Stegostoma tigrinum: one gene and its partners. The protein of the gene in region 2 interacts with the protein of the main gene of each other region in a pairwise test. Links are inferred from orthologs where the notes say so. Each region holds a gene or a part of one and is shown on either strand. Other genes may lie near its edges. The genes, in order: golga1, vps52 and aamp.

Region 1 (3,750 bases), on a different chromosome or scaffold from region 2:
TTGGGAGGTAGGGAGGGGATAGGTCAGTCCAGGGAAGACGGACAGGTCAAGGATGTGGGATGAGGTTAGTAGGTAGGAGATGGAGGTGCGGCTTGGGGTGGGAGGAAGGGATAGGTGAGAGGAAGAACAGGTTAGGGAGGCAGAGACAGGCTGGACTGGTTTTGGGATGCAGTGGGTGGAGGGGAAGAGCTGGGCTGGTTGTGTGGTGCAGTGGGGGGAGGGGACGAACTGGGCTGGTTTAGGGATGCGGTGGGGGAAGGGGAGATTTTGAAGCTGGTGAAGTCCACATTGATACCATTGGGCTGCAGGGTTCCCAGGTTTCCAGTCTAGATGACTCTTCCTCAGACCTTTGAGACATCGGTACTATTAGACTATCAACTGCCTTGATTCAGTTCTGCTGGCAGCTTGCGATTGAATTAGGAACAGGACGTCTCTCGAGCCTATCTGCTATTTTAATGAGATCGTAGCTGATCATACCCTAAGGCCTATATCCCTAAATTAAGAGGGCAATATTCCATCTTGCAAAGGAGAAGCAGGCTATTCAGCCCATCAAGTCCACATGCCCCACAATCAGCAGCCTCACTTCCGTGTTTTATCTCGAGTGCAGTTTCAGTTTCCTACTTCATGTGTGGTGTGTGAATTTGTTTTAAAAAATCCTAGTGCTTTTTCACTCGGGTTCCTTGCAGCAGTGACAAGAAGATGTAACGTCTGGGAGAATTGACACGCTGTGTTGAAGGGAAATCTGGGGCCCGTTGATGTTGAATTCGAGTCCTCCGAGACTCTTGGAGCAGCACTGTCTCACTAGTTCACTCTTGATCAGGTCGATACTGTTGTTGGCGTCGTCGGCGCCTCCCCCACTGCTGCTGACGGGGATTTGTTTTGGTGGGCTTGGCTACGGTCCAATCAGCAGTCCCAATACATCAGCGAATGGGTACAATGGCACAAGTCCCCGATCTAACGTTCAATCTGATTGGACTGAAGGAAAGCCGCTGGGAACTTGATGACGTTGCGGCCACGTCGGCTGAGCGGAGGTGAGAAAGGCCGACAACAGGATGGAGCAGTAGTGTATAGAGCCTTGCTGCTAACACACACTCAGGTACTTGGTCGCCATGAGAAAGTGCCTGCTCGGGTGTCCTCGCTCTCCGGAGTTTATGGTTCCTACCGTTATCGGCAATTTCGTGTCGAACTTCTCGGAAGTGACCTGCTATTTATAACAGATCCGGCCGAGCAGAAGCTTTCAGTGGGTAGTTGATTGCTTAGTGAACCATGAGTGATGACCCAAGTTGGCCGTATCGGCGGACGCTCGGCCGCTCGCCCTCCTTTGGTGAACTAAAACCTGCTGCCGAGCCCACCTTATTGACGAGCTGCTGATTGGTGGGTTGGCTGTTCTGTCCCTCGACAGGGATGGACGCGCTTTCCGACTGGTCCCGTAAACTGTCACTCAAGAAGCTGTCAGCTGCTGTTCCGAAACAAAACAGAAATTGCTGGAAAAGCGCAGCAGGTCTGGTAGCATCTGTGAAGATCCGTTCTGAGGAAAGACCACGGGACCCCGAAACGTTAACTCTGATTTTTTTTTTCTTCACAGATGTTGCCAGACCCGCTGAGCTTTTTCAGCAATTTCTGTTTTGTTTCAAAGATTTATTCTTTCTGTTTCACGATTTCTCCCAGTAAATTCCCCATAAATGATGTTAAACTAACAGACGTGTTGCTACCTAGGTTGTCCCTCCTGTGCCTTAAATAATGGATCACCCAAGGACATTGTTCCTGAATCATGAGAAATTTATAAAGTCTGACTAATCCATTTGGAATTTATTCACCTGAACTGGCTCCAGTCCATTTGTTTGATTCCTTTTGAGTCATATTTTCTTACAGGAAAGAAACTTTGAATAATACTGTGATTAGTTGATTAGAAGTAGTTTTGAATCCCAAAGATTAGGTGACCATAACTTCTGGAAAAAGTAGCAGAAACAAAATGCTGTATTGTTAAGGAAAATGAAACAGCACATTGAATAGTCTTGTTCATAGGCAAAACATGGTCTTGTCAGAATTCTTGAAGAATGGAATTTACCAACAGTCCTTGGGGAAATAGAATGTGACAATTCTGGCATCAAAGAAGTAGCACAAAAACTGGTATCATGTCATTAAACTTTAATTAATCTTTTCTGCAGTTTGGTCCAATGTAAGCGCGACGCAAAATACTCTTTTCTCATAGTATTGGCACTGAGCCCGCGTGCAAACACCCGGTGCCCGTTTTTGTGCTTGAACTTGGGTTGGATGGAACAATTTTGAAATGTTTACTTAATTTTCTTCCCATTTCCCTTTCTTAGTGGTTACATATTTGTATGTTGGCTGCCAGGTCTTCTAAAGTAGAATTTAGGGTAGGAAACAAAGAAATGTGGGTATACAGGAGAATTGCAGTGGACTTCAGTTGTGAAACCCAAGCTGTATAGAATAATGAAACAAAGTTTTTTTTTTAAAACATCATTTCTGACATATTATGATTGCAGTTGAGAACCAGTAGAAATGTTATTTTCTTGATCTAATGTACTTTATTTTGCTGACAGGTGATGCAATGGACGGTTTTTGCAGTAGATATAAAAAGTGAGCCTTATTAAGGAGCAGCTAGGAGCCAAACAGAGTACATTGTTTTCTAAAGCACATCCACTGTCTCTCTTCCAAACTCATCTGAGACTTCAGATAACCTTAAACAGTTTGGTGGTTTGGAACACCTCTGAAAAATATAGCTGAAGAACCATGTTTGCAAAACTGAAAAAGAAGATTGCTGAAGAGGCAGGCAACACCTCACGTCCTGGTACGGCACGGATTCCAAGATCGGTCAGCAGAGACTCCATTACTTCAATAGGAGCTGACTCTGGAGAAGATATTGTATGTATTTTGTATGTCTAAAATTGAGATCTTTGAAGAGGCTTTGTGGAAAGATTGTGATTTCATCAGGCTGAATCAACAGTTGCAGTTAGTCATAGAGCTGTATGCTCAGCCTAACTCCTCCATGCCGACCAGATACCCATAATAAATCTAGTCCCGTTTGCCAGCAATTGTCCCACATCCCCCTAATTCATATATGCATCCAGATGTTTCTTAAATTATTGTAATTATACCAGCCTCTGCCACTTCCACTGGCAGCTCATTCCATACATGCAACACACTCTTCTTCATAAAAACGCCACTCCTTAGGTCACTTCTGAATCTTTCCCCTCTCAGTTTAAACCTATGGCTACTAGTTTTGTACTCCCACAACTCGGGGGAAAAGAACTTGTCTATTCAGCCTATCCATGTGCCTCATGACTTTACAAACCTCTAAAAGGTCACCCCTCACCCTCTGCTCCAGGGGAAATAATATCAGCCTATTCAGTCTTCCTCTATGGCTCAAAACTCTCCAACCCTGGCAACATCCTTGTAAATCTGTTTTGAACCATTTCAAGTCTCACAACATCCTTTCTTTAGCAGGGAGGCCGTGCAATATTCTAATAGTGGCTTAACCAATGCCCACTGCAGCTGCAACAAGACCTCCCAACTCCTGTACTCAATGCAGTGACCAATAAAGGCAAGCAAACCAAATGCGTTTTTCACTATCCTGTTTATGTGGAACTTCACTTTCAAAGGAATAACATATGAACCTGCACTCCAAGGTCTCTTTGTTCAGCAGCACTCCCCAGAACCTTACCGTTGTAGATAGGTCTTGCCCTGATTTGCCTTTTCAAAATGCAGCACCTTGCATTTGTCGAAATT
Region 2 (3,750 bases):
CGGACGTGTAGGGGGTTTTAGTTGTGATGGGCAGCAGGTCGGTGCAGGCTTGGAGGGCCGAAGGGCCTGTTCCTCTGCTGTAATTTTCTTTGTTCTTTGTGTCAGCAAGGAAGGCAGGTGTACAATTACCTTCTTAACCACCCTGTCTGCATGTGACGCAAAACCTCACAGAATTATGTCGCTGAATCCCTAGGTGTCCTTGTTGTCCAACACCATCCAATGCCTAACTTTTAATTGTACAGGTCTTACCCTTGTTTGTTTCACTAAAATGTAATCTCACATTCACCCAAATTAAATTCCATCTGATACTCCCTCACCCGCATCCCAGGCATGAAGAACCGCAGGAGATGCTACACTTGTCCCCACACCTCCTCCCTCACCCCCATCCCAGGCCCCAAGATGACATTCCACATTAAGCAGAGGTTCACCTGCACATCTGCCAATGTGGTATACTGTATCGACTGTACCCGGTGTGGCTTCCTCTACATTGGGGAAACCAAGCGGAGGCTTGGGGACCGCTTTGCAGAACACCTCCGCTCAGTTCGCAACAAACAACTGCACCTCCCAGTCGCAAACCATTTCCACTCCCCCTCCCATTCTTTAGATGACATGTCCATCATGGGCCTCCTGCACTGCCACAATGATGCCACCCGAAGGTTGCAGGAACAGCAACTCATATTCCGCTTGGGAACCCTGCAGCCATATGGTATCAATGTGGACTTCACCAGTTTCAAAATCTCCCCTTCCCCCACCGCATCCCTAAACCAGCCCAGTTCATCCCCTCCCCCCACTGCACCACACAACCAGCCCAGCTCTTCCCCCCCACCCACTGCATCCCAAAACCAGTCCAGCCTGTCTCTGCCTCCCTAACCTGTTCTTCCTCTCACCCATCCCTTCCTCCCACCCCAAGCCGCACCCCCAGCTACCTACTAACCCCATCCCACCTCCTTGACCTGTCCGTCTTCCCTGACTGACCTATCCCCTCCCTACCTCCCCACCTATACTCTCTCCACCTATCTTCTTTACTCTCCATCTTCGGTCCGCCTCCCCCTCTCTCCCTATTTATTCCAGTTCCCTCCCCCCATCCCTCTCTCTGATGAAGGGTCTAGGCCCGAAACGTCAGCTTTTGTGCTCCTGAGATGCTGCTGGGCCTGCTGTGTCCATCCAGCCCCACACTTTGCTACCTCATTGCTGAAGGATTAATTAGCAATCGCGGGCAGACCTCGTCCCCGCCCGCTGTGCCTCCGACACTGGGAACCTTTACACATCTACCACCGCGACATCGCTAACACCAGGAGGCCTTACCGCGCCGCCGCGGTGCACCCCGGGAGGACGTGGGCGGCCGCTGTGCGCGCCGGGAGTTGTAGTCTTCGCTCCTTGCGTCCCTCTACTCCCCACCCCCACCACCACCCCCCCCCCCCCCCACCCCCTACACCACCCCCACCCCCTACCGAACTGGGTGAGGATCAGGGTCAAACCGCAGGGACCTTGTGGCCCGGATTTCTTTTTGGGGGGGGGGGGGAGAGAAAAACGAACCCCGCCCCCCCTCGGCTGGCCGGGGGATTCCGGTTCCGGGTGAGGAGACGGGCCCCGGATGTTGTTGCTATGGCGGCGGTGGAAGGCGGAGGAGCGGCTGAGGTAGGGACGGGACCGAAACCCCCCCTCACCCCCCGGGGGGTGGGACCTTGTCTATTCACCCTATCCAAGCCCCTCATGATGTTATAAACCTCTATAAGGTCCCTCCTCAGCCTCTGACGCTCCAGGGAAAATAGCCCCAGCCTATTCAGCCTCTCTCCCTGTAGCTCAAACCCTCCAACCCCAGCAACATCCTTGTAAATCTTTCCTGAACCCTTCCAAGTTTCACACCATCCTTCCTGTAGCAGGGAGACCGGAACTGAGAGCTGTATCCCAAAAGTGGCCCAAACCAATGTCCTGCCCAGCCCCAACATGACCCTCCCAACTCCCTGTACTCAACGCACTGACCAATAAAGGCTAATGTACCGAACACCTTCACCATCCTGTCTCCCTGTGAGTCCACTTTCAAGGAACTGTGATCCTGCACCGCCCCCCCCTCAACAAGGTCTCTGTTCAGCAACAGTCCCCAGGACCTTACCATGAAGGAGTATTAGTCCTGCCATGATTTGCCTTTCCAAGATGCAGCACCTCACATTTATCTAAATTAAACTCCATCTACTTGGCTGATCTGAATGAGATCCCCTTATACTCAGGTAACTTTCTTCACTGTCTACTACACCTCCAATTTTGGTGTCATCTGCAAACTTACTAATCATACCTCCAATTTCATATCTAAATCATTTCTATAAATGACAAAAAGCAGCGGACCCTGCACCGATGCTCGTGGCACACCACTGGCTTCCAGCCTCTAATTTTTTTTAAAAAAAACCCTACTGCCAACCCCTTCTGCCTTCAAACCAATTTTATATCCAATTGGTTAGCTGCCCCCTAGATCCCATGTGATCTAATCATGCTAACCAGCCTACCATGTGGAATCTTGCCAGATGCCGCACTGAAATCCATTTGGACAATATTCACCGCACTGCCTTCGTCAGTTTTCTTTGTCACGTTTTCAAACAACTCAGTTAAGTTATTGAGACATGATTTCCCACCTGCAGAGCCATGTTGATTATCCCCAATCAGTCCTTACCTTTCCAAATGTGTAGGAGGAGGGAGGGGAGGATTCACAGATAGACAGGGCAGTGAAGGTGGTGTTCAGTACGCTTTAGCCTTTATTAGTGAGTGCATTGAGTAGAGGAGTTGGGAGGGTCATGTTGGGGCCATACAGAACATTGGTCAGAGCCACTTTTGGAATACAGCGTGTTGAAGCCTCTGAAGTGTGACTTGAATCTGTGAAGGACCTTGAGTTGCTGTCTTTCAGACTTGAGGCTGAAGCAATGATTTCTTGGCTTGTGCAGCTGAAGCGAAAACTTGCCATGTTATTTTGTTTAAAAGGAGAGAAGGGGCAGTGAATTGTCCACTGTTCATCCCTCAATCAGCAGCAGCAGTCAACAAAATAATTGGACCTTATTTAATTAATTTCTTAGAGCTGGTTCACTCAATTGATTCCAGAGATGAGGGGTTTGCCTTTTGAAGAGAGGCAGAGCAGTTTAGGCTTACGCTGTCTGGAGTGTAGAAGAAAGAGAGGATATCTAATTGAGGGATAGAAGATGCTAATGGGGATTGAGAAAGTAGACATAGAGAGGATGTTTCCCCTTGAGGGGCAGTCTGGAAGGAGAGGTCATAGATTGGCCATGCTAAGTTGCCCATAGTGTCTAGGGTAAGGGGTGGGTCTAGGTAGTATACTCTTCAGAGGGTCACTGTGGACTTGATGGACCAGATGGCCTGCTTCCACACTGTAGGGATTCTATGATTTTCGGATAAGGGATGGCAGATTTAAAACAGAGATGAGGAGAAGTTACTTCTCTCAAAGAGCTGTGAACCTGTAGAATTCACTGCCTCAACGGATGTTGAGACACTGGGTCAACTTTTACTCGCTCACAGGATGAGGGTGTTGCTGGCTACACCTGCGTTTACTGCCCGTCCCTAATTGCCCTGAGGGAAGTTAAAAGTCCACCCAACATTGAAGTGATTGATTTTTAAATTAGTGGAAGGGTTGAAGGATTATGGGCAGGAGAGGAGTTGAGGCTGAGATAAGATCAGGCAGATTGGCATCAAATGGTGGAACAGGCTCAATGGGCTGGATTCCAGCTCCTGATTCTGATGTGGGTTTTT
Region 3 (3,750 bases), on a different chromosome or scaffold from region 2:
CATTCCCGCACATCTCCCACGTGTACGTCCACCCCACCGATACATCTAGCCCCTGCCCCTCTGTGCGCTTCATCCCCGCCTCCCCCAGGTATCACACCCCCCTCCCCCGCACATCTCCTGTGTGTACGTCTGTCCCTCCCAATACATCTCCCCCCCCCGCCCTTCCATATGTTCACCCCCACCGATACATTTCCCCCCCGCCGCTCTGTATGTTCACCCCCCCCGCCCCCCCCATACGTGTTCACCCCCCCATACGTCTCCCCCCCGCCCCCCCATACGTGTTCACCCCCCCCATACGTCTCCCCCCCGCCCCCCCATACGTGTTCACCCCCCGCAATACGTCTCCCCCCCGCCCCCCCATACGTGTTCACCCCCCGCAATACGTCTCCCCCCCCATACGTGTTCACCCCCCGCAATACGTCTCCCCCCCCATACGTGTTCACCCCCCGCAATACGTCTCCCCCCCCATACGTGTTCACCCCCCGCAATACGTCTCCCCCCCCCATACGTGTTCACCCCCCGCAATACGTCTCCCCCCCCCATACGAGTTCACCCCCCGCAATACGTCTCCCCCCCCATACGTGTTCACCCCCCGCAATACGTCTCCCCGCAATACGTCTCCCCCCCCATACGTGTTCACCCCTCGCAATACGTCTCCCCCCCCATACGTGTTCACCCCCCGCAATACGTCTCCCCCCCGCCCCCCCATACGTGTTCACCCCCCGCAATACGTCTCCCCCCGCCCCCCCATACGTGTTCCCCCCCCGCCCCCCATACGTGTTCGCCACCCGCAATACGTCTCCCCCCCGCCCCCCCCATACGTGTTCGCCCCCCGCAATACGTCTCCCCCCCGCCCCCCCCATACGTCTCCCCCCCGCCCCCCCATACGTGTTCGCCCCCCGCAATACGTCTCCCCCCGCCCCCCCATACGTGTTCACCCCCCGCAATACGTCTCCCCCCGCCCCCCCATACGTGTTCCCCCCCCCGCCCCCCATACGTGTTCGCCACCCGCAATACGTCTCCCCCCCGCCCCCCCCATACGTGTTCGCCCCCCGCAATACGTCTCCCCCCCGCCCCCCCCATACGTCTCCCCCCCGCCCCCCCATACGTGTTCGCCCCCCGCAATACGTCTCCCCCCCGCCCCCCCCATACGTGTTCGCCCCCCCCGCAATACGTCTCCCCCCCGCCCCCCCCATACGTGTTCGCCCCCCCCCGCAATACGTCTCCCCCCCGCCCCCCCCATACGTGTTCGCCCCCCCCCGCAATACGTCTCCCCCCCGCCCCCCCCATACGTGTTCGCCCCCCCCCGCAATACGTCTCCCCCCCGCCCCCCCCATACGTGTTCGCCCCCCCCGCAATACGTCTTCCCCCCGCCCCCCCCATACGTGTTCGCCCCCCCCCGCAATACGTCTCCCCCCCGCCCCCCCATACGTGTTCGCCCCCCCCCCGCAATACGTCTCCCCCCCGCCCCCCCCATACGTGTTCGCCCCCCCCCGCAATACGTCTCCCCCCCGCCCCCCCCATACGTGTTCGCCCCCCCCGCAATACGTCTCCCCCCCGCCCCCCCCATACGTGTTCGCCCCCCCCCGCAATACGTCTCCCCCCCGCCCCCCCCATACGTGTTCGCCCCCCCCCGCAATACGTCTCCCCCCCGCCCCCCCCATACGTGTTCGCCCCCCCCCGCAATACGTCTCCCCCCCGCCCCCCCCCATACGTGTTCGCCCCCCCCCGCAATACGTCTCCCCCCCGCCCCCCCCATACGTGTTCGCCCCCCCCGCAATACGTCTCCCCCCCGCCCCCCCCATACGTGTTCGCCCCCCCCGCAATACGTCTCCCCCCCGCCCCCCCCATACGTGTTCGCCCCCCCGCAATACGTCTCCCCCCCGCCCCCCCCATACGTGTTCGCCCCCCCCCGCCCCCCCCATACGTGTTCGCCCCCCCCCGCCCCCCCCATACGTGTTCGCCCCCCCGCAATACGTCTCCCCCCCGCCCCCCCCATACGTGTTCGCCCCCCCCCGCCCCCCCCATACGTGTTCGCCCCCCCCGCAATACGTCTCCCCCCCGCCCCCCCCATACGTGTTCGCCCCCCCCGCAATACGTCTCCCCCCCGCCCCCCCCATACGTGTTCGCCCCCCCCGCAATACGTCTCCCCCTCGCCCCCCCGCAATACGTCTCCCCCTCGCCCCCCCCATACGTGTTCGCCCCCCCATACGTCGCCCCCCCGCCCCCCCATACGTCGCCCCCCCGCCCCCCCATAAGTCGCCCCCCACCCTCCTACGCGTGTTCACCCCCCCATACGCCTCCCCCCCGCCCCCTCCTACGCATGTTCGCCCCCCACCTACACATTAACGCCCCTCCCCCTCTCTATGTTTACCCTCCTCCTGCGGCTGTTGGTTGGGATTCAGTTCGATCACTTCCACAATCTCCTCGCCTTGGTGTAACTCCAGCTGGGGGCTCAGCTCCCCCTCTTCCATTCTCCCTCACGTCCCTAGTTACCGCTCACCTAGTTACACTAACTGACTTAACCCGGTCATGTTGACCAGGCGGCTTTTCGCAGGCGCCCTGTCGAGGCCCGACTCACCAACCGGAAGGTCAATGTATGATTGACAACGTTTCCAGCCAATCCAGAACCGGCTTTCGGTATCACCCGGACAACCGTGAGGAAAGGAATATCCGGGGTTCGGTTCCGTCTACACGCCGCGGGACTCCCTGGGAGTTGTAGTCCTGCCTTGATGGAGGGCAAACCGTCTCTGATTCCTCCTCATGGAGTCTTTCTTCCCAGATCGCTCCTAAGTGTCATCCGTTGGAGTAAATCAAGTCGAATCGTGAATTTGAAGTCCCGTCTCACCAGCGGCTGTATCTGCGCATGAGCCGTGAGGAAGTTGCCGTGCTCCCCGCTGCTTGCCGGGATTCTGGAGGATCAAGATGGCAGTAGCTGGGAGGACCTGTTCCAGGAGTAGAGGTAATAAAATGTGAGGCTGGATGAACACAGCAGGCCCAGCAGCATCTCAGGAGCACAAAAGCTGACGTTTCGGGCCTAGACCCTTCATCAGAGAGGGGGATGGGGTGAGGGAACTGGAATAAATAGGGAGAGAGGGGGAGGCGGACCGAAGATGGAGAGAAAAGAAGATAGGTGGAGAGGAGAGTATAGGTGGGGAGGTAGGGAGGGGATAGGTCAGTCCAGGGAAGACGGACAGGTCAAGGAGGTGGGATGAGGTTAGTAGGTAGCTGGGGGTGCAGCTTGGGGTGGGAGGAAGGGATGGGTGAGAGGAAGAACCGGTTAGGGAGGCAGAGACAGGTTGGACTGGTTTTGGGATGCAGTGGGTGGGGGGGAAGAGCTGGGCTGGTTGTGTGGTGCAGTGCGGGGAGGGGATGAACTGGGCTGGTTTAGGGATGCAGTGGGGGAAGGGGAGATTTTGAAACTGGTGAAGTCCACATTGATACCATATGGCTGCAGGGTTCCCAGGCGGAATATGAGTTGCTGTTCCTGCAACCTTCGGGTGGCATCATTGTGGCAGTGCAGGAGGCCCATGATGGACATGTCATCTAGAGAATGGGAGGGGGAGTGGAAATGGTTTGCGACTGGGAGGTGCAGTTGTTTGTTGCAGACTGAGCGGAGGTGTTCTGCAAAGCGGTCCCCAAGCCTCCGCTTGGTTTCCCCAATGTAGAGGAAGCCACACCGGGTACAGTGGATGCAGTATACCACATTGGCAGATGTGCAGGTGAACCTCTGCTTAATGTGGAATGTCA

The links.
Region 1: the proteins of vps52 (region 2) and golga1 interact in binary tests that used the Homo sapiens proteins (3 or more experiments, as listed by UniProt). The two-hybrid records come from large-scale screens. The link is inferred for Stegostoma tigrinum from reciprocal best matches to the Homo sapiens genes VPS52 and GOLGA1.
Region 3: the proteins of vps52 (region 2) and aamp interact in a two-hybrid assay, tested with the Homo sapiens proteins (2 studies listed by BioGRID and IntAct). The link is inferred for Stegostoma tigrinum from reciprocal best matches to the Homo sapiens genes VPS52 and AAMP.

The regions. Positions count from the first base shown.
Region 1 is NC_081382.1:26,349,290-26,353,039, reverse strand, and holds the start of golga1 (golgin subfamily A member 1), read left to right. Parts: upstream 1-964; 5' UTR 965-1,096; intron 1,097-1,185; exon of another isoform or gene 1,186-1,374; intron 1,375-2,564; 5' UTR 2,565-2,754; coding exon 2,755-2,886; intron 2,887-3,750. UniProt on the Homo sapiens protein: Involved in vesicular trafficking at the Golgi apparatus level. Involved in endosome-to-Golgi trafficking. Mechanistically, captures transport vesicles arriving from endosomes via the protein TBC1D23.
Region 2 is NC_081387.1:27,638,442-27,642,191, forward strand, and holds the start of vps52 (vacuolar protein sorting-associated protein 52 homolog), read left to right. Parts: upstream 1-1,504; 5' UTR 1,505-1,605; coding exon 1,606-1,638; intron 1,639-2,007; exon of another isoform or gene 2,008-2,207; coding exon of another isoform or gene 2,208-2,228; intron 2,229-3,750. UniProt on the Homo sapiens protein: Acts as a component of the GARP complex that is involved in retrograde transport from early and late endosomes to the trans-Golgi network (TGN).
Region 3 is NC_081360.1:104,059,561-104,063,310, reverse strand, and holds the start of aamp (angio-associated migratory cell protein), read right to left. Parts: upstream 2,920-3,750; 5' UTR 2,475-2,919; coding exon 2,375-2,474; intron 1-2,374. Other genes in the region: si:ch73-71c20.5 (DUF4748 domain-containing protein), read left to right, coding at 2,926-2,962. UniProt on the Homo sapiens protein: Plays a role in angiogenesis and cell migration. In smooth muscle cell migration, may act through the RhoA pathway.